Notamacropus eugenii: one gene and its partner. The protein of the gene in region 2 purifies or fractionates together with the protein of the main gene of each other region. This does not show direct contact. Links are inferred from orthologs where the notes say so. Each region holds a gene or a part of one and is shown on either strand. Other genes may lie near its edges.

Region 1 (12,687 bases), on a different chromosome or scaffold from region 2:
CAAGCACATAGTCTTCTCTTATTTACAAGCTGTGTGACATGTAGCAAGTCAGCCCCTTTCTCCAGCCTCAGAGTTCTCATCTGCAAAAATCAGATAGTCTTGTGTGTACTTGGCCACCTTACAGGGCTTTTATACAGGGAAAAGAATCTTCTGTACACCTTAAAGCAATAGAGAAATGTTCATCTATTGCTAAAATGGAAAGGGTCCCAGAGTCAGAGCCAGGCAATGTACGTTAGAAACTTGGCTCAACACTACTACTCATGTGATCACCAGCCAATCTCTTTCTCTCTCCTCATCACAGCCAGTTTTCCTTATCTGTAGTATGGGGATGATAACATGTTCACTCACTACCCACCTCCCAAACTACTTCACAAGATTTATTGTAAGGATCTAACCAACTCATGTAAACAAAGCGTTGTCTTATATTTCAGAACTAGTTTATAAAATATATCCCTGGTTCTATATCTATCACTTTTACTGTTTGAGATAATCCAAATGAGTCTTGGGAGAAAAGCAGAGTCCCCTTTCTTTGTGTTGCTTCATACTTTGTAGCCTTGTGACCTTCTCTGAGCCTCAGTTTCCTTATCCATAAAATGGGGATAACATTTCATTCAAAAAGAATTGGACTCATTGGCCTCTCAGGTCCCTTTAACTCTAGATCTATGACTCCATGACCCTCTGGTCATTGAGAAGATCAGATGAGATGATGTACATAACGTATTTCACTACAGTTAAAGCCCTCTAGTTAAATGTCAGCTTTATTATCTTATCTCCCAGCAGACAAAGCTCGAGTTTAACCCCAAAGCTGAGTTGTAATTTCCATCCTAATCATCCTCATTACTTGTTAGGATTCTCCAGCTCCAAGGCATTCAGATGATTATTATATGAAATTAGTCCTTTAATAATATAATGGTAAATAAAAGCTAATTAAGAAATTTCAAACAAGGAAACCTCTAAAATACCAGCAAACTTGACTTCCCCGAGATATCATGGGTGCTTGTTTCAGGAAAAAAATAAACAATTATTTTCTCCTCTTGGGTACCAGAATTTGGCCAATTAGGGGAACACTAAGATATCTTTGAAAATGTTGCTTTTTAAATGTATTATGACAATGTCAGGTGAGCTACATTCCTAACATTACCTTGGGAGGCAGCTGGTCTAGCTCAAAGAGTTAGAGCAAGCGTTTGGGCTCTGTGACCCTGGGTCAGTTGGTTCCCCTCTCTGTGGGCCTCAGTTTCCACAAAAATGCAGGCCATATTTACAGCTACCTTCCTAAGACCGGTGCCCCATATATCATAAACTGCTATAGAAAATACCAGTTACTATTGCTGGGATTTCTTCACCCCTTTACCTCTCAGCTTTAGAGAGCTGGCTAGGTGATTGCTGTAAAACACTCGACACTTCAGCCCTTCCAATTCTAGAAGTTATTTACTCAGTAGGTTGAATGAAAAAAATAGTTCAAAGGGAAAGAAAGTCACAATCTCTAAAGGGTTAGTGAATGATTTTATTTTGACAACAGTGTTGTCATATTCATAAGCAAAGATCACTTTTTTTTAACCTAGGGATTATTCAACAAAGAGGAGACACCACTTGGAGTAAATCCCGTCCCTTCGTACCTTCCCGGGTCTAGGACCGGTTTGGAGAGGAGCAGCTTTTGTCCAAGAGCCAATCGCATCAGGAGCTGTAACAGCACATGACTTTGGATACAATCCTACACTTCAAGGCTGCATCCTTGAAAGCTCGGAGTTGTCAGTTTCATCAACAATCCTGTGGGAATCTTTGGGGGAGGGGGAGGGGAGGGATAAAGGGAAAACACTTTGGTAGTACTATACTCATCAGGCACATGTCTTTCCACAGTAAAGGGGTGGCTGCTTGGTCCCCACGTCCTCAAAGCAGGTAGCACTTTTTCGAAGAGGGAAATTTAAGGAAGCCCTCAAGTCTTAAAACCCAGCCTCTGCCCCACCCCCATCCCCATGACTACTAAAAGCTATACAATGCATAAAAGGTGGGGTGGGGGTAGAATAGTTTAACAGTTTATTGTATTTTCTTAAATATAATAGATCCTTTCTGGAATTTTCAGAAACAAAAAGCATAAAAAAATTATATACTTTATTACAAAGGGTAAATATACCCAGAGTGTTCCAAATCTCTTATTTACAAACAATGCTTGGTAGGGCCCAAACGGAACAAGACAAAACATAAAATAACTTACAAAGGCATGAAGCTGTTTATTGACATTAATCAGCTTTCATAAAATAAAAAAAATAGATATATACATACACAGTTAACTGAAAGGCAGGCAAGTGGAGTCCATGGTATTCTTTACCCTTCCACCCCCCCTTTATTTTTCTCTTAAGAAACCTCCCTCCCAACCCTCCCCCCCCAGTTTTTTAAAGAGTACTACAGAAGCAAACTACAGGTCTCTATGGAGTTTTTTTTTTTCTTTTTTTCTTTTTTAGACCTTTTAATACTGAATGATCATCGAATGTTAGAGGTCCATGCAGTTCTTGGTCAATGTTAAACATGGAGCTGACAGGTTCTGCCCTCCGGGTCCGGCAGGGAGGGTGGGGGTGGGGCCATCCCTTCTGCCAAACGGTACTGTCGGGGGGCTTGGCCACTCCGGACTAGCTCAAGGCCTAAGGCTTGGCCAGTCCCGCCCCGACATGTGCGTGGGGGGCGGGGAGGGGGCGGCCCAGTCCGGGGCTCAACACGGGTCAGCTTGATCTATCTTTTCTCTGACACTTTGCTGTGCCTGTCTCTCCCTTCCAAACGCAACCAACGCGTCAGTCCAACCAAGTCCGTCTCTTGTCTCCCAGGGCTGCTCAAAACGTTTGCAACTGTTGCGTTAACATGAGCTGGCAGCCGCTGTTCACGTGGTTCATGACTTTCTGCTTCAGCTGGGCCACCTGTTCCCTGAGCATGTTGGCCGTGGACGCCAGCTCCGAGTTCTGGGCTTTCAAAGTTTTCACCTTTTCCTCCAGCCGGGCGATGCGCTCGAGTTTCCTTTTCCGGCACTTGGACGCAGCGATGCGGTTCCTCATTCGCTTCCTCTCGGCCTTGATGCGCTCCTGGGACTCCATGTCGATAGGGGACAGCGGCGGTGTCTCGCCGGGCATCTCGGGCACCGTCTGCGGCTCCTCCTTGAGCGCCTGCAGCCGGGGATGCTGCACGCCCGGCAGCTGCGGGCCCAGGGGAGGCTGCGGGTTCGCCTGCTGCGCCTGCTGCTGCGGGGCCGTAGGCTGCGAGGGGAAGCCCAGGCTGCTGCCACCGGCCCCGGCCCCCCCGCTGGCGCTGCTGTAAGCGGGCGCGCTGCCCAGCGCGGAGCTGGGGGTGAAGTTGCTCAAGTTCGCGTAGACAGGGGGCTCGCTGTGCAAGCCTCCGAAGCCCCCGGCGCCGCCGCCGCTGCCCGCCAGGGCGGCCACGGGGGGAGCCACCATGCCCGCGGCCACGGAGGCGTTCCCGGGCTGCGCGGCAGCCGCCGAGGGGACACCCGGGAGAGTGTTCTGGCTGTGCAGCTCGGCCAGGGCGCGCACGAAGCCCTCCGCGAAGCCCTCCTGCTCGTCCGTCACGTTCTTGGGGCACAGGAACTGTGTGGGCGTGGGCGTGGTGGTGATGAGCCCGTTGCTGGACTGAATGATGAGGCGCTCGAGCTCCGGGGAGGCGAGCTTGAGCAGCCCCACGTCGGGCGAGGTCAGCAGGTCTGGGTTCTTGTTGCGCAGGTGGGGCTTGAGGCTGCTCACCGGGTCAGCCAAGTTCAGGGTCAGACTCTGCTTTAGCACCTTGGCGTGGCTGTAGCCGTAGCCGCCACTCTCCGGCTGCACGAAGGCGTTGAGGGCATCGTCGTAGAAAGTAGTTTCCATCTTTGTAGTCATAGAACAGAGCAGGTCCCCTCCAAGCTGGCCGAGCCTAGACGTCCGTCGGTCCGTCTGTCTGTCCGCCCGCCTGCCGCGACTCGCAAAGTTAGCAAGGAGAGGCGGGCTTAGGGGCGCGCTCCGGAGTTCGCCTGGGGAGAGCTCAGCACCCCAACTCAGCCAGGGGGTCGCGAGCCCAGCTGGCCCCCCTCCGGGCTCGGCCACGAGGCGCGCTCACTCCGCTGACTGCTGTCCCGCGCGCGCTCCTCGGCTCCCGTTTGAAAAGTGGCGGCGATGGTGCGTCCGGCTGGAGGCGTCCCCCGGTCTCGGTGAGTGGCCGGCGGCTGGATCAAGCGGGTGACAGCGGCTCTCCCGGGCACGGGCGAGGGAGCCCGGCCGGGGGGGTGGAAAGGACAGCGAGGACGGGAGGTCAGCCGGACCCCCCCGAAATCCCAGTCCTTGGCGGCGTCGGTCCCCGCCTCCTCCGGGCTGGCAGCGAGCGGAGGGCGGCTGCTGCGCTCCCGAGCGCGGCTCGGGTCAGGGGCCGCAGCGGCAGCCCCTTCCTCGCTCTCCTCCGCCCGCCTCCGGATCGCTGGGTTTCGTCAAAAGTTCGCTGCGGGCTCCGAGAACCACTTGTGTCTCCGGGAAAAGTAGCGTGCGGGGCAGCGGCCCCTCGGCCGAGCTGGGCGTGCGCGGCGACGGGGGCCGGGGCGCGAGCCTGGGACCCCCGAGCTGGAGCTCTCGGGCAGCGGCAGAGACAAGAGGGGGACGGTCCTGGCGGGACGGCTCGGGGCGCCCGCGCTGCTCTGCGCTCCTCTGCGCTGCTCCGCCCGGCGGGAGCCCACGGGCCGGCCGGATCGGATCGGGGGCTGCTGCGGCTGCTGCGGCTGCCTGGGACCCCTGCCTGCCTGCTGCCTGCCTGCCGCCTGCCTGCCGCCTGCCTGCCGCCTGCCTGCCCGTCCCGCGCCGCTCAGCCTAGGCTCTCCCGGCCACTCTCAGTACAACTCTGAGCCCGTCTCCAGCTCGGAGCTCAACACTTATCTGCTACCAGTCACCCCCTAAAAATAGCCCATGATGTCACCCCCGCGCCTTCCCATTGGCCCGCGTCGCCCTCAGGGGGGAGGGCCCGCCCGTCGCCATGGAGACCCCACCCTAGAAGATTCTTCTCCCGGGCCCCGCGGAGGCTCACGGGATGAGGTAATGCTCCGCTGCCCTCCTACAGTCGGGCCCTTCTTTCTCCCAGCGCTCCCCCCTCCCCTACCCGGCCCGCCCCGACCCGCCCGGTGCATTGTGGGCTGACGTCTTGGGGTTGGACTGTCTAGTGACGGCGGTCTGGCGGCTGGGGCGGAGGCGGGCTCAAGTTCTAGGTTCGGTGGGGGTGGGGGCAGGGAAAGGCGGGAACGCTCCGAGGGTCGGGGGCCGTTACCAGGCGGTGGGGCGGAGACAAGGGAGTATCAGTTCTCTTCTTCCGTCCGCGGACGCGGGGGGCGGGGGGCTTCTCCCAATGCGCTCGGCCTGAAGTTTTCAGGGACTTGCCTCCGCGCCGCCTTCCCCCACGCCCTGGGACTCATTGGTACCGCCCTGAAGGTGGTTCGGTCCCTAGGGGCGGGGAGCCGGAGGGAGAGCGGAGGCGGGGGGGCGAAGTATCGCGAGATCCGCTCCCTTCCTCTCGCAGCGACTGCAAACAAACTTGGGTACCAGGGAAGTTGGGGCCCGGGAACGCCTCGGAGTGTCCGGGCTTGGAGCGGCCGAGCGCGCTAGCATCTTCTCCCGGCGCCGCGGTGGGGGCAGGGCGGCCCACTGGGCGGATGAGCAAACTGAGGCAGGGGGGACCCCAGGACGTCTAGCCCTACCCCTGCCCCCTAAACGGGGGCTTGTCCGGAGCCACAGCTAGAAAGCAGCGGAGGAGGAATTCGAACCCAGGGCAGGCAGGGGAGGGAGGAAGACCTAGGGTCCGAGTTTTACTCTGTGACCCTGAGCAACTCACTGAAGGCCATGTGCTTTTATTAAGCGCCTACTGTATGCCAGGTTCTGTCGCTAGCGCTGGGAACATAAAAAAGGGGCCGAGCCTTTATTTTCGCCCCTTCCCCTTTTGTGCGTTGTTCCCCAGAACCCCCAGAAGGTGAACCCTTTGAGGGCAGGGACTGCCTTTTACCTTGTATTTGTAGCCCCATTGCTTAACACACGGTAGGCGTTCAATAAATGCTTGTTTAACCTTTCAGAGACAGTTTCCTAATCTGTAAAAAGGTGGGGAAGTTGTAGGGGGGACTGAACTAGAGGGCCTTGGAGCGGCCCCCCCCATCTTCAGATCCCTTCCCAGGTTGCTACTAGCCGTGTGACTTTAGGAGAATCATTTCCCAACCTGTAAAACTGGGGGGAATAGATAGCGCCCCCCTCCCAGCACAGGGTCGTTTTGAGGATCCAGTTAGTTAACTTGTAAAGTGGTTTGCAAACCTTAGACATCTAGAGAAATTGTTTTATTAGTAATGATATTAAGTAACATCTGGTAACATTAATAGCAACATAGTATCATTTAATGAATGACGTATCATCATCGTTTCACTGAATCTCACTGGACCCATTCCTAAAGTGAGAGAGAGACCTCTGAGATCCATTTCAGCCCTCCCCCACCAAAATCTGTCATTTTACTCTGGGGGAACTGAGACCCCGAGAGAAGGGCAGTGGCTTGTCCGAGGTCACATCGTAAGGTAGTGACCGAGCCAGGATTCCCACTTGGGCTGGTAGATTCTAATCTCAGGATGGATTCCATTATCCCGTGAACTCTGACCTTCGAATTCCAAACCCTGGCTGGGTATTCGTACAGGGCCTTCCTCAAATCCAGGTCAGCCTTCCTAGCAGCAGTGGTTGCTAAGCTGTGGGAATTCCTTAACGCCCACCCACGTTGGGAGATCGAAACTCATTTAGGACAGCCGGAGGCTTCGAGAAGTCGGCTGTCTGTAGTTAGCGGGTGGGATTTGAATCCAGGTTTTTCCGGACTGATAGCCTAGCGCTCTCTCTCTCTCTCTCCCTCTCTCTCTCTGTATGTATGTGCGCGCGTATATATATACATACATACACATACACACACAGATATACAAATGCTAACAAATATGTATTTAAAAGAGCCTACGTCACTGGATTGCTAATCGAGTTGTTAATAATAATAGCTAAAATTTATATAGCACTTTGAAGTTTGTAAAACGCAGTTACAAATATTAGGTAATTTGATCCTCTCAACCATACTGGGAGGCAGGTGCTATTATCTAACCCTACGAGGAAACTGGGTCAAAAAGAAGCTTAAGAGATTTGCCCAGGGTCACACATCTAGTAAGTGCCTAAGGCAAGATTTGAACTTGGGTCTTTTTGACCCTCCTTAGGTGTCTGTATTTTGGGGGAAAGAAAAGGGAAAGTGGGATTAGTATCAGAGGAGATAGCGTAGGTAGTAGAGACTTAGCATCCAGAGCTTAGGAAGTGTCCATCAATATATGTAGTGAAGACCCCGGCTGGATGTAGGTACAAAATAATATAGAGAAAACGTCAGGGTCTTTGGAGTGAGAGGATTTAGTTTTTGTTCTTGTCTCCAATACCTAATACCCTGAGACTTGGGACAAGTCAATCAACATTTTATTAAGCTCCTACTTTGTGCCAGGCACTGTGCCAATTGATTGGGATGAAAAAAGAGGCAAAAGACAGTTCCTGAATTTCTTCAAACTGTCCAATGATGAGATTAAACTCCAAGGGATTTTGCTCTAGCTCCAAATCTAGGATCCTTTGATAGGGAAAGTAACTTTCCCTTTCTGGGTATTATTTTTCTCAGGGGTAAAAGCGGGACAAAAGTCTTTTTTTCTGCCTTTTTATAGAGTTTCTGTGAGACTCAAATTTGAGGATATGTATGGAAGTATGTCATAGTTCTCAGTAACATAGCTAGCATGGACATATCGTTTTAAAATGTGCAGTCATGCCAAGTCAAAAAATATCTATTAAGCTCCTATTATGTGCCAGGCACTGCACTACCCAATGGCAATATCTACACAGTCCTTGCCCTCACAGAGCAACTAATTGAATGGGGGAGACCACATACAGACAACTATGCACAAACAAATTATAGAAGGGACAAATCGGATGTAATCAACAGAGGAAAGGCAGGAGCATTTAGGAGAATCAGGAAAGGCTCCTTGCAGAAAGTGGGATATTGTCTGAGTCTTGAAGGAAGCCAGGAGGCAGAGATGAGAAGGAAGAATGCTCCAGGAGTGGGGGAGAACAAGTTAGCTCATTTAATCCTCACAATCACCCCATTGTGTGGGTCACAGGTGGCTCTGTAGGTGGCTCTAAATACTCCCTAATGGAGTCCAAATCTGACTAAAATATACCAGGGAACTATTTAACAAAATATCTAGAAACACAATAAAGCATAGGTAATGTTAATTTGTGGTTTTCTAAGTCAATATGCAGATGGGAGGGATCCTTATGTAGGGCTTTGTTGTTCAGTAATGCCCCACTCCTTGAGACTTCAGTCGGGGTTTTCTTGGCAGAGGTACTGGGGTGGCTTGCCATTTCCTTCTGTTCATTTTAGAGATGAAGAAACTGAGGCAAACAGGGTGAAGTGACTTGCCCAGGGTCGCACAACTGGTAAATGTCTGAGGTTGGATTTAAAGTCAAGAAGATGAGTCTTCTTGACTCCAGGCTTGGGGATCTATGCCCTATGATGCCACCTAGCTGCCCCTCTTTATTATAAATAACCTTTTTATCAACGGGCCATTTTACAGATAAGGGGACTGGAAACCAGAGTTGTCCCAAGCCAGGCAGTGACACTAAGTGACAAAGCTGGATTTGAATCAGAGACTTCATTAGGGAAGGAAGCTTTCCTTTAAGTCTCCCTGCGGCTAAGTCCTTTCCCTTCTCAGTTATCTACCATTCATAGTCCTCTAATAAATACTTTGTCTCCCTGAATTCAAATGTAAACCTTCAGAGGGAGGAACTTTGCTTTTTCTTTGTATCCCAGTCGTCAGCTGTGGATTGAACCCTGGTTCCCAAACATGGAATCCACCCCTTTCCCATTCTTACCTCATCTTACCTGGAGAGAATTGAAACCAGAGAAGGGACTTGCCCCAGGTCACTTAAGGTAGGTGGTTTGGGCCAGTCAGGCAGCATCAGAATTGGACCTAGAACTCTAAGCACCTGACCTCCTTCCAGTACCTTTCCCCTCCCCACCCTTTCTTCTCCCATTCATCCCAGCCCCTTGAGTGTGGTCAAAGTATCTGTCGTCCACACAGCACAGTGTCTAGAAACTGTCTGGAGTCATCTGAGTGGTGGAAAAGGGAGTAGAAAGGTGTGTAGTGTCATTGGTACAAGGTCTGTTTTCCCTGGAATCAGGAGAACAGGTTAGTAGGTGAGAAGTCAGTGGAGCTCTGGTGTGGTTGGCAGGACTGGCCAGGGGAAGGCTTTGGTTCCACATCCTGACCCTGTCAATGACGTGGGGTGGGGGAAGGGAAGAGGAGAAGAACTCTGAGGTGGAAGTCTGGAGACCAGAGTTCTGATCCTCAGTTTGCCACTGACTAGTTGCAGGATAGTGGGTGAGTCAGTTGCCTTCCCTTTCCTCCTCTGGGCCTCACTTTCCTCCTTTCTAAAATTATGGTATTGAATTATGTGACCTTGAAGGTCCCTGTCCAGTCCTGATATCCTAGGATTCCATAAATACGCACTAGAATGCTGGAGATCAAAAGGCAGCGGGATGATACAAGAGATAGAGATAGCAGCTGCTATTATTGTGAGACTCACATGAGATAAATGCTTGGAACGTGTTTTAGAAATCCTGAAGTGCTTTATAGAGATTGGGACTGTACACCTGGGACTGGCATAAGAAAATCTGCCAGTGTAGGGTGGCACCTTCTCTGTAGGGCAGCTATGTGACACAGTAGAGAAAAGCATTGGGCTGGGAACCAGGGAAACTCATCTTCCTGAGTTCAAATCTGACCTCACTAGCTATATGACCCTGGGCAAGTCACTTCACCCTGTTTGCCTTAGTTTTCTCATCTGTATAATGAACTGGAGAGGGAAATGGTGAGCCCCTCCAGTATCTTTGCCAAGAAAACCCCAAATGGGGTCACAGAGAGTCAGACACCACTGGAAAATGACAGAACCACAGCCACAATCTTCTCTGTAGTCTTAGAGGGTTACCAAGAGCCCTGACCAGTTAAGTAGCTTATCTAGGATCACCCATTCCGAATGCAGACGTATTATATAGATTCTAGTCTTTGATTATCTGTGACTATTTTATTCTTCTTGACTTGAGAGTTCACCAATGTGACAGCAGAAGATGGTGGTAGGTGAGTCAGCTAGTGTCCTCTCATTAAAACAATAGGTCTATGCTAGTCATAAATTACTGAGAACTATGACATACTTCCATACTTATCCTCAGGTAGCTCTCTGCCCTCTCCCTCTGATGCTCAGCTAGGTCCCATTTCCTGGGAAGATTCCTGTCCCAAGAAGCCTTGGATAGTTATTGATTTTGAGTCAGAAGGGAACTTACAGTTGATTCAATGTGGTCGTGTCTCGTTCCCTGTTTGGTGAAAGCGAAGAATGGTGGAATATCAGAGCTAGCCAGAACTATGGAAATCACTGAGTCCAACTGCTTTACTTTACCATGGAAGAAGCTGAGGCAGGAGTGACCTATCTCCTAGCTGCCCAGTGTGGGAGGTCAGCATTGTACCCATGTTCTCAAACTGCCCTCATGACAGTGGTGTGAGTCCTGAGACACAGGAAGATGGACAGGAGGAGAATGGAAATAGAAGACTTTAGGTTTCTACCTCAAGTTAGGTAGGACATTGCTTGACTGGAAAGTGTCCAGAGGAGGTCGACCAGGATGGTGGAGGAGCAGGGAATGCCCCATCCAACACCTACCATACTCCAGCTCCCTTCTTTCTGCCTCTGTTTCTAGTTTATCCCGAGCTTGTCTTGTTTGCCTGTTGTGTGCTCTGTTAGATGAGTAGCTTCTGGAGAGCAGGGACGGTTTTCTGCCTTTCTTTGGATCTCCAGCATTTAACACATGACCTGGCATATAGCAGGAGTTCACTAAATGCCTTGTTGACTTCCTGAGTTGAAAAAAGGTGGGTTTTTGTTTTGTTTTGTTTTTAACTTTTTCCCCAGCCTGGAAAAGAGAAAAACTCAAGGGTGGTGAGGCATTGTTGGGAAAAAACACACTGTCTTCATGTATTTCAAAGGCCATCCGGTGGTAGAAGGGTTAGCTGTATTTGGTTGGCCCCAAAGCCAAGGGCAGAACTGGGAGCAGAGTTTCCAAGAGTCAGATTGAAGGTGACTGTTAAAGAAAAACACGCTCTCTACCGACCTGAGTTGTCCCCAGAAGGTTTGGGCTTCCTCAGCTGAGTGAAGTTCTCCATCCACAGTCCTTCCAAGTGGTGACTGGACAACCATCTGTGGGAGACCTGAGAGGCAGGCTTCTTTCTTAGGTGTAGGTCAGAGGAAATGTCCATCAGGTCCCCTTCTAGCTCTGAGAGTCTGTAATGTAATGACCCAGAAAAGAAAGCTTCTTTTCCCTAAAGAGCAGCATTGTGGTGTCCACCTGTCTCCTCCATTAGACGGTCAGGCCCCCCAACACTATGCCTGACACTTCTTAATAAATTCTTGTTGATTGATCTTTTCAACAGCGCTGTGACATGGGTGCTATTATTACCTCCATTTTATAGACATTTTTTTAATGGAGGAGGAAAGGCAAGGCAATTGGGGTTAAGTGACTTGCCCAAGGTCACACAGCTAGTAAGTGTTTCAAGTGTCTGAGGGCAAATTTGAACTCAGGTTCTCCTGACTCCAGGGCTGGTGCTCTACTCACTTTGCCGTCTGGCTGCCCCTGTAGATGAGATTTTTAAGGAACAACTATGGGTTTATTAAACAGTCACTAGAATATCTGGAAACACTTCAGAGTTCAGGTGAGTCTCTGCCCTCATGCAGAGACACCTATAGAGAGGGCCAGCAAAGACGGGCTTGAGGCACGATTCGGAGACCGGCTTTTCTCCAACTCTCCCTCTTTCTCTTCCTGTTTTTCTTCCTTACTTATTTTTGCTTCAAGGTTTGCAAAGTGTTTTCCTCATAATAACAATGAACAAAAATCTTTGTGAATCAGCGCATTATACAATTAAAATGTCCTGGCGGGGTGTGTGTGTGTGTGTGTGTGTGTGTGATGACTCTGGAGCTCCCTGGGAAGCCTGGCTCAAAGGCCCCTCCCTTCAGGAAGCCTGCCCCAACGTCCCAAGTTTGGAACGCTCCTTCCTTCACTGGACTTCATGATCTTCTTTATCCACCTCCCCCCTCTCCACATAATATACCTGCATTATGTTGTATTTTAAAAAAAAAAACGAACAAAACTTAACAACTTTCTTTTACTAGATAACTGCAGCTAGAATGCCTTTGGATGCTTCATTAAGAGCACCACTCTCCTGGACCAGTGATTGGGACTCACCCATGGGTAACAGCAGCAGTCCCCATGGGGTGAGGAGTCTGCCAAGTTCAAGAGGTCATGCCTCTATCTTTGGGCTGGCTTCTCAGGAGCTGTCTTGTCAAAGACCAGCGACCTAAGTACCTTTGGGAGCTCATTGAGGTACGAAGGGTTCCCTCACCTCATCTGGAAGCCAAACAAGCCAAAACAATACCTTTTTATGGTGTCACCTATATCCCAGTTCTGAATCCCTGGGTTATGTAAACAGGGTGAGGGACTCCCACTAGGCTTTGGATCTCCAACTCTGGTCCAAAGCCTGAGCACACAGGGTGCCCTCCCCAATATGCTTCCTCAACTTTTTGTTGTTGGCCTCTGTCTTTCGAGGAA
Region 2 (12,399 bases):
TCACTTAATATAAGAAATTAGACCAAAAAAATACTTGGATATAGCATTTGAGTCTTATAAAGCAAGCTCTTTTTTCTACACACACACACACACACACACACACACACACACACACACACACACACACACACAGACTGAGTTGCTTCTATCCAGATTCTAAAAGGTAACATATTTCCTAGTTAGTTCTTAATAACATTTGTAACTGCAGAATGTAAAATATTGTTATGGGTAATCAAATGTCATGCTTCAGAGCATTAGCTAATAATCTGTGGAGGTCAGAAAGTAAACCTTCATCTCCACAACTATGTGCAACACTATTAAAGGAATAACCAAGAACATTATGTAGGGTAACACCTCCCATTGAACATTAAGGATGGGTTATATTGCAGTAGGCAGGCTACTGGCTTAGTTGGATAAATGATTTCATTGAGCAAAGGAAAACCTATATCAGAGTGCTCTTTTTTTCATAGCCAATTTCAACTGGAATCGTCATATTTGGTTGAGACTTGCCAATAACAAAATCAGTATCAGCAACCAAATATATTAACACCAATCAGGGAAATGAATCAAAATGAATGGTAAACAGTTCTGAAAAGTCCCAAACTTGGATTTTCTCTCATAATTTACTAGACAAATCTTCTAAAAAACTGATAAAATGAAATATTACACTTAACTTCTATCATCAATCTGTTTCGATACAAACATTTATCAACTCTGGCTTCTTTTCTTTTGGTGTGGCCCATGGGAAAGCTATCTTTGTACTGCAACTGGCTTACCTGTGTGTATAAACCTTGTGGAGTTGAGGAATGGTTTTATTTTAAAGATTCTATAATGAAACTCAAATCTGTGACATATAAGCAAAGAATGAAATCCTAAATAAATACCTGGTATCTCAGCAGACCAGTTAATTAAAGAATGCCAAAAAAGGTAGTGGCTCCCTAAAAAGAGGGAATCTGGGAATCTAGCATGTTTTCCCAGTGTCTCACATTTCGTTTTTCTAAAACAAATAAATTCATAATGTATTTTAGAAAGAAAAGTTTCCTTAAAAGAATACAATATTGGGAAATCTTTCACTTTGTCATCTATTCACTGAATCTACTCCTAAGATGAAATGAAGAGCTATAGCAATACTTCATCTATAGATACAGCACTATAAATATGTATCGTCTACAAATTCTAAATAGTGAAAGGCTTGAATGGAAGTGCACACACATTCACTCTACTCAAGGGAGTGAAATCTTTAAACCAACTTCAGCAACTCCTGTGTTGTACCCTGAATCGCAATCTGGTGTTAGGGAAAACAAATAAAAAACTCAATGCAACCAAGACCCAGAAATCAGAATTTCATGTGAAAGGGAATAAAAATTTTTCTATGACATGAATACACGTAAAAGACATTTCTAACTTAGACCTACAAATAAGTGATTTACTGATGGCTTACTTTGTTTTTAATGGTTACTAGTTCATTAACTAACCTCCCTTGCAACAGCCAAGCTCATTCATTTAATGTTTAGTTTAATAAATAATTGGAGGAAACTGATCAAGGTCTGCCTTTGTCCTTTGACAACTTCTACATGTATTCTCCTGCATTTTCTACACCCCCTGAATTCCATCCCATGTTGAAGTCTTTCTGTAAGCTCTGGTTAACCCATAGGTGATTTCCTCTTGATCCCCTCCTTTTCTTCTGTTTTTGGTTTTGTTTGCTTTTAATGGTAATAACCAACTAACTGAGCATTTACTTGCTATTAAGAAACACTACACTTAGTCAAACCAAGGAGATTAATCTTATTCCATTCAAACTTTCTTAATAACTTGTGGAATGACTTTGGGTAAGTTAATATTGTGATTCCTCAGTTTACCCATATGAACACTGGGGATATCTTCCAGGGTATGCCAATAGATAATTACATTTGCTTTTATAAAAGCATGTGATTACTGAGATTGGAAAAATAGACATTATTTCATTTTTAAGTTGCCTTCTAATGCAGTCCTTTTTGACTTGTGCTGTTTCTTCCTTTTTATAAGCCAAAAAGGGTTTTCTTTTCTTTTTAGTAAACATAAAGGACAAGGAACAAGAGAACTAAAATCCAGATGAGTAAAATAAGCATTCAAGGCAAGGAAATTAATGCTTCTACTGTCAAGGTGCTAAACTACCTTTTAGGGGGAAAGAGTTGTTTTAGTTTTGAAACTTTAGACACAAGAAATTGTGCTTACTTCTTTAAAACTATTCCAGAGGAAACATAATGTCATATTGATTTTAAATAACACACTATTATAGTTCTGACAGCATATTGTGGCAAAATAAAGCACTGCAAGCCCCAGCCCTAGACCTCCAAGCTCTGGAATCCCTGGTTGAATTAGGAAATCTCAGTAGCAAAATATCTCATGAACAAATGGTGACAGAGCTTGTATGCTACAGATATTAATATAAGCATAGGATGGTGTTAAGTAAAAGATCAAAATGTATCAAGGGAGGCAACCAATACATCTTCAAACTGAAAATCACCTGGGAAAGCTTGGTGGAACATCACATTTAATTGCAAACTAAAGTATTAATACCAGATGACAACAGTATAATCACGGTGATGATAAGATATTTTTGAAGTGGTAAGTAGAACTAAAGATGTGATCTAATGGATTGAACTTGTCTTTCAATTCTGGGGCATCTATCCTTTAAAGCACACTGAATCATTCTGATGATAAACTTAAGAACTATTCTTAACCTCTGCAGAAACTCTTAAAATATTTTGACTTAGGCTGCTTTTTTTTATAGGCCATGACAAAGACTTCAGTTCCAAACACTAACAAAATTGAAGAAAACGAGAAAGACATAATTATTTAAGTGAGCAATTAAATGGCATATTTATCATTTTATATTATAAGGAAAGTGTTCTTAACCAAGATTTAATGGAAAGTGACCTTTGATTTACTGGTACAGTTTGTGCTGTAATACACAGAAAGAACTTAGACTTGCTGTTTGTTTACTGAATCGAAGTATACTGAACTTTCAACAATAAGATTTACTTTAAAAGAAAATGTACCTGCAAAGAATTACAGACTTGATCATCTATCTCTAAACTTCCTTCAAATAAAAATTGTCATTCTTTCAAACAGACCATTTAAGAGTTTCCTACTCAGACAAGTAGCCCCCAAAATGATATCTGTAAGTTATTAGTAAATGTTTCTCTCCTGGCCATATTATCCCAATGAAGGCCCTTCCTTATCCCTACCCCCCCACCTCAGTCCTTTAACTGCCACCTGTTCTTTATACTCACCCAGATAAGCATACAGAAACAAGTAGAATAAGGAATGTCTCATAAAAAAATATAAACGTAAAAGAGGGGAGAAGGAGGCGGCAAAGCTTTGTTCTTACATGTTGCAACTTAATCTTTTTTGACTTTTTCGACATTTGGGACCTGTATGTTGATTCCCAGATAACTACCAGAAAGGGAATATCTGCACCCAGTCAGTTCCGAGACGTTTGCTAAGAGGATCCTCTCCCCACCACAAGGTTCTCATCTTCTGAGTTTTATCACTACCCTCAAGGTAGCCAGCTAAGATGCAAGTCTGACAGTCTGTGAGTCCGGTTCTCATTCCTTCGGACAACAGGGGAGCTCTTCCTTTCTGGTTACTTCCTAAAATAACTCTTACCTTCACGCCCAGCCCAGCCTATCGTCCTAATCAGCTACATGTGCAGATAGAGCCCTCTCTGTTCTGGTCTTCACGTTTATTTCAATAGCATTTGATTTTTCTAGGGCAGTTATGCACGTTATTCCCTCCCTCTCGTCTGCCCTTGTCATCTCTAAACGAAACTCTTAACTTTCACTACACCCTTCCTATTTTGTTCTATTTGTTCTAGGTTTTGACTTTTGCTCCATCGTTCCTATGGGACAAAAGATGAGCTGCAGTGCCAGAGAGGTTGTGTGTGTGTGTGTGTGTGTGTGTGTGTGTGTGTGTGTGTGTGTGTGTGTGTGTGTGTGTGTTGGCAAAAGGTTTGAGGAACGATCCAGGATCCTACAATCTCCAGATCCCTAAAAGCTGCCCCTCTCCCGCCCCCTCCCGGTACAATCCTGCCCCTCCGAGCACGCAGACGTACAGTGAAACAGCTCTGGAACTGGACCCGTGGCTAATACAGCCAAGGCACTCCTCGGTTCCCAGGCAGCTACTGGGAACTCGACTGCACCTTCGAGCCCAACTCCCGCACTTGCTTCTTCACTGAGCCACCGACCTCAGAAAGAGCAGGGACCTGGCATCTTTCTCCTCTCCCCAAGTCAGTTAAGCCTCGGTATCTGGAACTCCACCCCACCAGAAGAGAACCAGCCTGCTGAGTCTCTTTTGCCCCATGGCAACAGCCTTACTTTCCTTCCACTTTCCTTCCTTTCTGGCAATCACTTGCACACACGCGCGCGCACACACACACACACACACACACACGCACACACACTCCAGAATATGAATCGTATCTCTTTCCTCCCTCCCCTTTATATGCTGTAGCTAAATTTACCCTGGAGAAATGGGACACTGATAGTTCAATTACTGGGTCAATTCTCAGACGCCAAAACAGTGTGCCCCTAGACTTTGAAGTGTTATCCCGGGACCATATTTCCTTAGCTTCACCACGGGGAGGGAGACTACTCCCCGCATTCTCATCCCTTACTCCGAAACCCATCTTTCCAGCACCCCATCCCCACCCCCAGCCCATTTGCTTGGCTGGGAAAACCTGATGCCTCGAGTTGGATTCCGCATCTTCCCCTTTCACAACCTCCCCCAACCTCATCTTAATCACCCGTTGGAAACACGCTCCGCAACAAACAAAAATCACACTTCAGTGAGACTCGCACTCCGGAGTGCCTGACTTTGGGGAGCCTCACTCCACGCGGTGGGAGGGCAGAGGTGAGACAAGGTAGGTGTTCTCAGGTTTTAGCAAACTGGAAGAGGAATGAGTTTCCCCGCAAGATTCAATGTTCTCCACGCTTCCAGCCCAGCCCCTTCCTCTCAATTCTCCCCTTTCTCCCAAGTCCCTCAACACTCAAAGCACTCACTGCCCCCCCCCCCCGCCCACTCTCCCCTGCACACAGAGTTTAACATTTTACTGGTGAGTAGAGAGAGGGCATGGGACCGGCAAGAGAGGGGAAAAGGAAAAGGGAGAAAGTAAGCGCAGGATAGAGAGAATGGGTTTTCCAACTTCTCAGGACAGACTGGATGAGGTTCAGTTTGGTCAGGCTTGTCAACAATACCACTGAAAGGAAAGAGAGACTCGGTGAGTGCCGAGGTTCGGTGGGGCTGGTGAGGCTGCAGGACTGAAAGACGAGAAAGAGGGGGGCGGAGGCGGGTGGTTAAGAGGGAGCTGGGTGCTAAGGGATTACCCCCCTTTACCTTGCGTTGGTGCAGTCATTGTAGAGGGTCTCGAAATCCTTCCTGGAGATGAGCTTGCAGCGGTTCACCCCGGGCTGGATAGCCCCTAGTCCCCTCAGGATGCGAACCTGTTCCACATTGCACACCACCGGCGTGATCTCCAGCCGCTTCAGCTTGGTGTAGACCGTGTGCAAGCCCCCGACCAAGTGCTTTAGGAACAGGTCAAAAGCTTGGGGCAGGCAGATGAGCTCGCAGCCCTCCACCGTGAAGGAAGCCACTTTGGCCCCCCTCAGATCCACCATTTTGCACTCATTATTCTGGGGGGTGTTCTCCACTGGGGAAGGGGTCGAATACACTGGTTTCCCCGGGAGGTTGCCGCAGCTGCTGCTGCTGCTGCTACTGCTGCTACTGCTGCTGCTGCTGCTGCTGCTACTGCTGCTACTGCTGCTGCTGCTGCTGCTGCCGCAGCTGGCGGTGCTCACGTTGAGGCTGGGGTTGGAGGTGCCTCCGCCGCCGCCGCCGCCGCCGCCGCCGCTACCGCTGCTGCTGGTGCTGCTGGCGGTGACCAGGCTGGGGTTGCAGCTGCCGCCGCCGCCGCCGCCGCCGCCGCCGCCTCCGTTGCTGCTGGTGCAGCCGCCGCCGCCGCCGCCGCCGCTGCCTCCGCCGCCGCCGCCGCTGGTGGAGGTGACCGTGGCCGCCGCCGCCGCCGCTGCCGCCGCCGCCGCTGCCGCTGCCGCCGCCGCCGCGATGGGCTCAGGTCGAAAGAGGGTTGGCCCTGAAGACGCCGGGGGACCGATGGAGGGACCCGGAGAGGAGGTCGCCGAGGACGTGGAGGTGGTGGTGCAGGAGGAGGAGGCAGAAGTGGAGATCGGAGGTTGCGGGGGGACCAGCTGGGTCGGAGGGATCAAAGCAGCCGGCACGGCCATGGTGACATATAAGAGGAGAAGAAGGAGATTGGGGGGTGGAAAAAGTTGCCACACACCAGGGGGAGGGGAAGGAAAGGGGGAGAACGAACGAGAGAAAGCAAAATCCCCAGAAAGATAAAGAGGGGGAAAGAGAGAGAAGAATGAAAAAAAGAAAAGAGAAGAGAAAGGAATGGGAGAATGAAGGGCAGAGGGGGTAAGAACGAGAAGCAGGAGAGACACGCACAAAAGTGTCCCGCAAGTCCAAATGAGTAGTCCTCTCCAGGGGCTGGGATTGGGGGCTGAATTTTTTTAGGGGGGAGGGAGGGAGGGGGGGAGGGTTGGCTATTGTTTTTTTGGGTCCTGCTCTAGCACAAAGTTAAAGATGAAGGTGAAAAGGAGGAGGTTTGAAGGACTTCGGTTCTCTCTGGCAAGTACATTGATCAAAGATTGAGAGGGGAATGACAGAGAGAAAATGAGCTGAAAAGTGCTGGCTGCTCTCTGGACGAGTTGTTGTTGTCACACGGTGCAGAGGGGAGGAGCTCCGGAAACTTGAAATACCCTTTGAAGCCTCAAAAACCTCACTCACTAGTATTAACCCAAATTATCCAACCAGGAACCCGGAGCAGAGAAACACAGACTGAGCGAGAGATACTGAGAAAGAGAACGAGAGAGTACGAGAAAGAGAGGGAGGGAGGAGAAAAAGGGTGAGGAGAGAGATTGTGGGTGGGGAGGGAGGTGAAGAGAGAGCGACATAGACGGCGGGGAGATGGGGGGGGGCGAGGAATGGGAGGGGGACGAAAAAGGAAAGGGAGATCATCTTTTCTTTTAATACTACCGTTAGATTACATGTTTCATATTTCATCTCATCCGCGACGACATGTAATTTTCCAAACGCATCTAAGCAATCTCCTGTCAACTTAAAGACGAACAAAAGCACTTTGAACAGTTTCTTATAGGAATTAGGACGTATTAAAATGATTTTGAAGAAAATCAGGTATAAATGGAAGATCTACATACACTTTCTCCTTCCATACATCTTTATGAAGGTTTGCATTTGCTTTTAGTTTACTTTAGGGAAAGTTCCTATGCAAACCTAAACGTATGATTTTAATTCATTCGTTTGTTTGGTCACTTGTTTGTGAGTACGTTTTTTTGTGTTTTTTTTTGAGCTGGGCTAGTAAATACAGATCATAGACTGAAAGTTGGAAGAAATCAGACATCTAAATTGCTAACATAATAATAGCAGATGTTCTTTTTATCTGCTCTGTATTTCAGTAGATTGTAGGGGGAAAAGAAAAATGAAAAGATATTCTCGATGTGGATTTTACACAGGTTAGCTATGTTTCCTTGCCAGTCAGAAATAGATGTAAGATCCTCTGACTTCAAAAAGGAAAGGCTAGCTAAATATAAAGCAGGTACACACTTATGTACTTTATGGATCTCAAACTGTGAGAAATTCAAGTGAATACCAGCAACAACAACAACAAAATGTTACTCTGTTTAAAAAAGACAAAAGACTTTCTGGTATGTTATGATAAAAGATCTCTTTTAACTTACAGTTTTCGAAATTAACTCATTCTATGGGAATATCCTTTCTGTCTAAATTTTAAGAAATTACACTCAACACACACACGTGCACACACACACGCGCGCACACACACACACACACGCACACACACACACACACACACACACACACACACACACACACACACACACACACACACACACCCCTAAATAGCAGACCTGAAAAAACAAAGTGGAGATATATAAAAATTAACTGGTAGAATTATTCTCAATCACCTTTTTAATTCATCTTATTCTTACATTCAGCTAACCTGTTGCATTTAAGTATTTAAAGGGTCTCTGACCAACAGGTGATTTAAAATAGCATAAGTCACAATGTAATCCTCTGTCTATATCTCTGTGGATCTTGAATAATTAGGCTTTCTCTACACATGCGCAGTATCTAATTCTGCAAGGTGTGAAATGATGCATTACACATTTGACAGAAATTATAGTTTTGTATATATTTTGAAAGCTGTAAGTCCATGTTGTTGAATTATACACTGAAAATTCTATGTCTTATTAGTTAAAATATTATTTTTCTTATTATTGAAAATTTGTTGTTTGTTGTTGTTTGAGGGAATACAAAAAGCATTGAAAAACATAGCTATGTCAAAAATCTACTCACATCTATCCTAAAAAAAAGGTACCTTATTTCGCCAGAATTTTCTTATTGGTCCACATCATGGAAGGAAAGCATATACAACACTTTCTAGGATATCTTAAATCTGTAGACAACTGTTTGTCCTGCCTGGTATCAAACGTCAGCTATCTTTTTAAAAAAGTTGAAATTCTTTTGGTCATCAAAGGTGTCTTCATCTAATAAATTCTTGTACCAATGTGAGGATGTATATGTACATATATGCACTTAAAAATATCAAAAACAGTAAGTACATGTTTATTTTAAAACATATTTAATGCAGATTTCATATTCAACAGGGGGAGAAAAGTTACAAACCCTTGTAAAACTGATTTTATATTGGAAATGCAAACACAACTTTAATTATAATGGCACAGCTTGATGTCACCATAAAAACTTCAGCTACTTTGAAAAATGTTAGACCACAGTTCTATCATTTTGAATTCTCTACCCATAAATGAGAACAATGCAAAACAAGTGTTGAAAAGCTGCCCTTACCCCCTCTGGTTTCCCACATTAACTCAGAGTACCATGCATACACAACCATGCCACATTCCTGTAACATACAAGCGAGGCAACGATTGCAACTAGAGCATGACCCTCAATTATGTCACCATTTTACCTTAACTTCTAAGAGGACCCATGATGTTGGGGGGAAGCTGTGCCCCACAACACGTGCTTACTTTATATAGTAGGGTATTATGGAGTCTGTCCCTTCTGAAAGAGTTCTGAGACAGAAAATCTTCAGGTTTTCAGTCAGTTGAAAGAAAACCATAGTTTGAAAAGGTTCATCATTGTGTAGCATTTGTTTGATCAGACGATAGCATTAGGAACTAAGCATAATGAAAATAAAAATATATTTATGGAAGGGTGCAAAAATCTTCAGAGTGCCTTGCTTGAGAAATGTTAGGAACAATTAAGTGAGCTTGAATTGTCCTTAGCAGAAGTATCAATCTAAGAAGGACTTGAATTTATCCCTTTATCCCTCTCACTTATAGCTTTTCAAGGTATTTTTGGTTGGTTGTTTGTTTTACATCTCAGGTCATTTCAAACACTCTTCCCCCATCGTCTCTTCCTCTAAGCTCAAAGTATAGTCACTGATATTTGAAAATTTTCCCTGTGTCAAGTGAAGACTTATTCTGCTGAAATCAATAAGACTGTTTAAAATTCAAAGACCTGCAAATTGTTCTGTTTGTCCTTTGATAGGGCCTGTGCTGATTAAAATGCTACCAAGAAAGCTTAATTGCTGCACTAATTAAGAAGTCTTTAATTTCTTTCCTAGGATATTGTTTGAAGCTGAGCTTCTCTTGCACTCTTGTAACTGTTCAGGGCAGGTATTCTCTTTCCTCCCACTATCCTTCCTCCTCCCTTTCTCCTCCTACCCTACCCCACCTTCCCCAGGGACCATTTCTGGGTGAATGAGAACCTACACCAACAGTAAGCTAGCTGATAGGTCTTGTAGTTTTATTACTTAACAAACAAACAAACAACACACACACCCGCGCACACACACACACACACACACACACACACACACACACACACTACTAGAGATCATTGCTTTATGAAATCCAGTGAGGAGACTTGCTATAATGTTGAAAGATATAGTCAGAAAGTGTACGGTACAATGTTGCTCCTCAAGTCTGAGCGAATATCTCCTGAACGACAGACTCCAGGCACTCTAGCCCTGTGCAGGGCACAGCCTTTTGGTTTCCAAAGGGCAACGACAAAGCACAAGGTCTACAGAGAAAAGAAAACATAACAGCACGCAACATATGATAGCAAAGAGTGCCATGGAGATAGTAAGACATTCTTTGAATTGATACTCATGTTCATATTTAAGTTTTAAAACATGAATTCCATCTGGATTTATTTTGCCTTTTTCCCTTTAGAGAAATACATCAGTATATTATTATATTTCATTCTTTCTTTACCTATTGACCTATACTATTCCCTGATTTCTCAAGTGGGGAAACTGACTAAATCATTTCATAAAACTTTCTCTGAGATGAGTACTCATTTTTAAAGTTTATTCATGTTTAATTGTAATTTTGATAAATGACTGAAAAGCAGAATATTGTAAGAAAGATACACATTTTGAAAATACTAGGGTAAATAATTTCATTTCATTCTCAGGTTTTAATAGACATCTAATACACACACACACACACACACACACACACACGTGTGTGTAAATATATCCACTGGAACTTCTTGTAAATCTGAGGGAGAAACATCTGAAATTGTACCTTTCCTAGAGCACAAAAGAAAATCAAATGATTGTGTAACAAAGTCAATGTGTATCAAGATCATATTTCTTGAACATCTGAATATTTCTTGAAAACACTTAGATCCACTGTTGATAACATTATTAAGTGAAACTGATATAGTTCAGGGGTCAGATGACTGACACTAGACGCTCAAATTGCAAGAAAGGATATATGACTATCATTCTTTTCTCTGTCTTTCTCCCACCTCAGTTGTATTTGAGTCAAGCCAGCACACAGAAATACACAACACAAATACAAACTGAATTCCTTTCAGTGACAGGACAAGATAACATGCTTAATAGATACAAAGGGAGATTTACCATTCCAAGCACGACGTCACTCTAATTATGTTTACCCTAATTGAAAGCAAGGTTTTTGGAATTTGAAATTACTTACAAGATTTTTTTTTTAAATAATGCAAGTGGATCAAATGTTGATCGCAAACATTTCAGTCTTTCGAAATCTATTGGAAAATTAAATGAAAAGTGGAATTTGGTACAAAGAGTGCCCCAGGGCAAAAAAGAACTAACACTCGATTTTCCAGTCCAGCCATAACACAAATCAATTTGAGCACACTTCTATGGCCAGACTGCCAGATTGTTATGACTGCTAATTCACTCAATCAAAGAGTGCATTAGCACACCCGGCACAAATAGCTTGAACAATAGTGTGCACTTCTGAACAATTCGAAGATATATCACAATGGAGGGTAAAGAGGAAGACCCTTTTTTTACATCTCTGTTCCTGGGATTGCATATTTACTTACGAACCTGTTTCTTAAACAGGGAGAAAAAGCATAACCAGCTACAAACTTCGAGCAAGGTTTATTAAACAGCTTTTGAAGTTTGGCAAATCCAGAATGGTATCAGGGTCCCAGTAGTTCATTGGTTTTGTTAAATGTTTCTCAGGAGAGAGTCCAAAATTGATGTTTGCACTTCAGTACTAAATCATTGAAGACGGAGAAATTATGCCAAGTAACTCTCCCAAGCCTTTTTAACTTAGACACACTGCCTCACCAATCAGCTTCCCTGATAAACTCCAGTAATTTAAACAAAAGACTCTTAGTTTTCTGTTTCACCCTCAGCTTTTTTGCCCAGCTCCCTACATCAGCCGATGAACCTCCCTCTGGTCAGCCTTCTCCTCAACGCTGGCCCCCGCCCCTGCCCCGGCCCCACCACTAATAGAAACTGGAAGACTTTTATCTCCCTGGTGTATTCTCTCTCAGACCACTGACAGTTTAGCTATAAATACCCCCAAGTTGCCCCAAAGGAGGAAATTGAGGAAACCAAAGGTGAAAACTCCTTAAGATAGCTAGCAACTTGAAGAGCTCACTGCATTAAGAGCTTATTAAGAAGTTAAAACTAATCCTATATTTGCTTCACAATCAGTGAATGGATGTATAGTATATATTGGTAGAAACTCTAATTCTACAATTCTTGGAACTAAAGGCTCATGAGATAGGTCTCTATATACCTTCCATTTTTACATAGACACCTCTGACAGAGAGATATACCAAATTTACCTTCTCTTCATCTTCCCCTCAAACATATATATATGTACGTAACTTTTTTTCCTGATTGAATAATGGTCAGATCAAGTCATTTTTGCTTGTGCACATTAAGAATGTAAAACCAAAACGGAAAAGTGGGATAAGAAAATTTTC

The links.
Region 1: the proteins of DACH1 (region 2) and JUN purify together in Homo sapiens (affinity purification with western blotting; 3 studies listed by BioGRID and IntAct, with this or other methods). This does not show direct contact. The link is inferred for Notamacropus eugenii from reciprocal best matches to the Homo sapiens genes DACH1 and JUN.

Annotation. Positions count from the first base shown.
Region 1 is NC_092873.1:518,946,855-518,959,541, forward strand, and holds JUN (transcription factor Jun), read right to left. Parts: upstream 4,842-12,687; 5' UTR 3,873-4,841; coding exon 2,823-3,872; 3' UTR 1,485-2,822; downstream 1-1,484. UniProt on the Homo sapiens protein: Transcription factor that recognizes and binds to the AP-1 consensus motif 5'-TGA[GC]TCA-3'.
Region 2 is NC_092877.1:266,362,978-266,375,376, reverse strand, and holds the start of DACH1 (dachshund homolog 1), read right to left. Parts: upstream 6,567-12,399; 5' UTR 6,282-6,566; coding exon 5,377-6,281; intron 1-5,376. UniProt on the Homo sapiens protein: Transcription factor that is involved in regulation of organogenesis. Seems to be a regulator of SIX1, SIX6 and probably SIX5.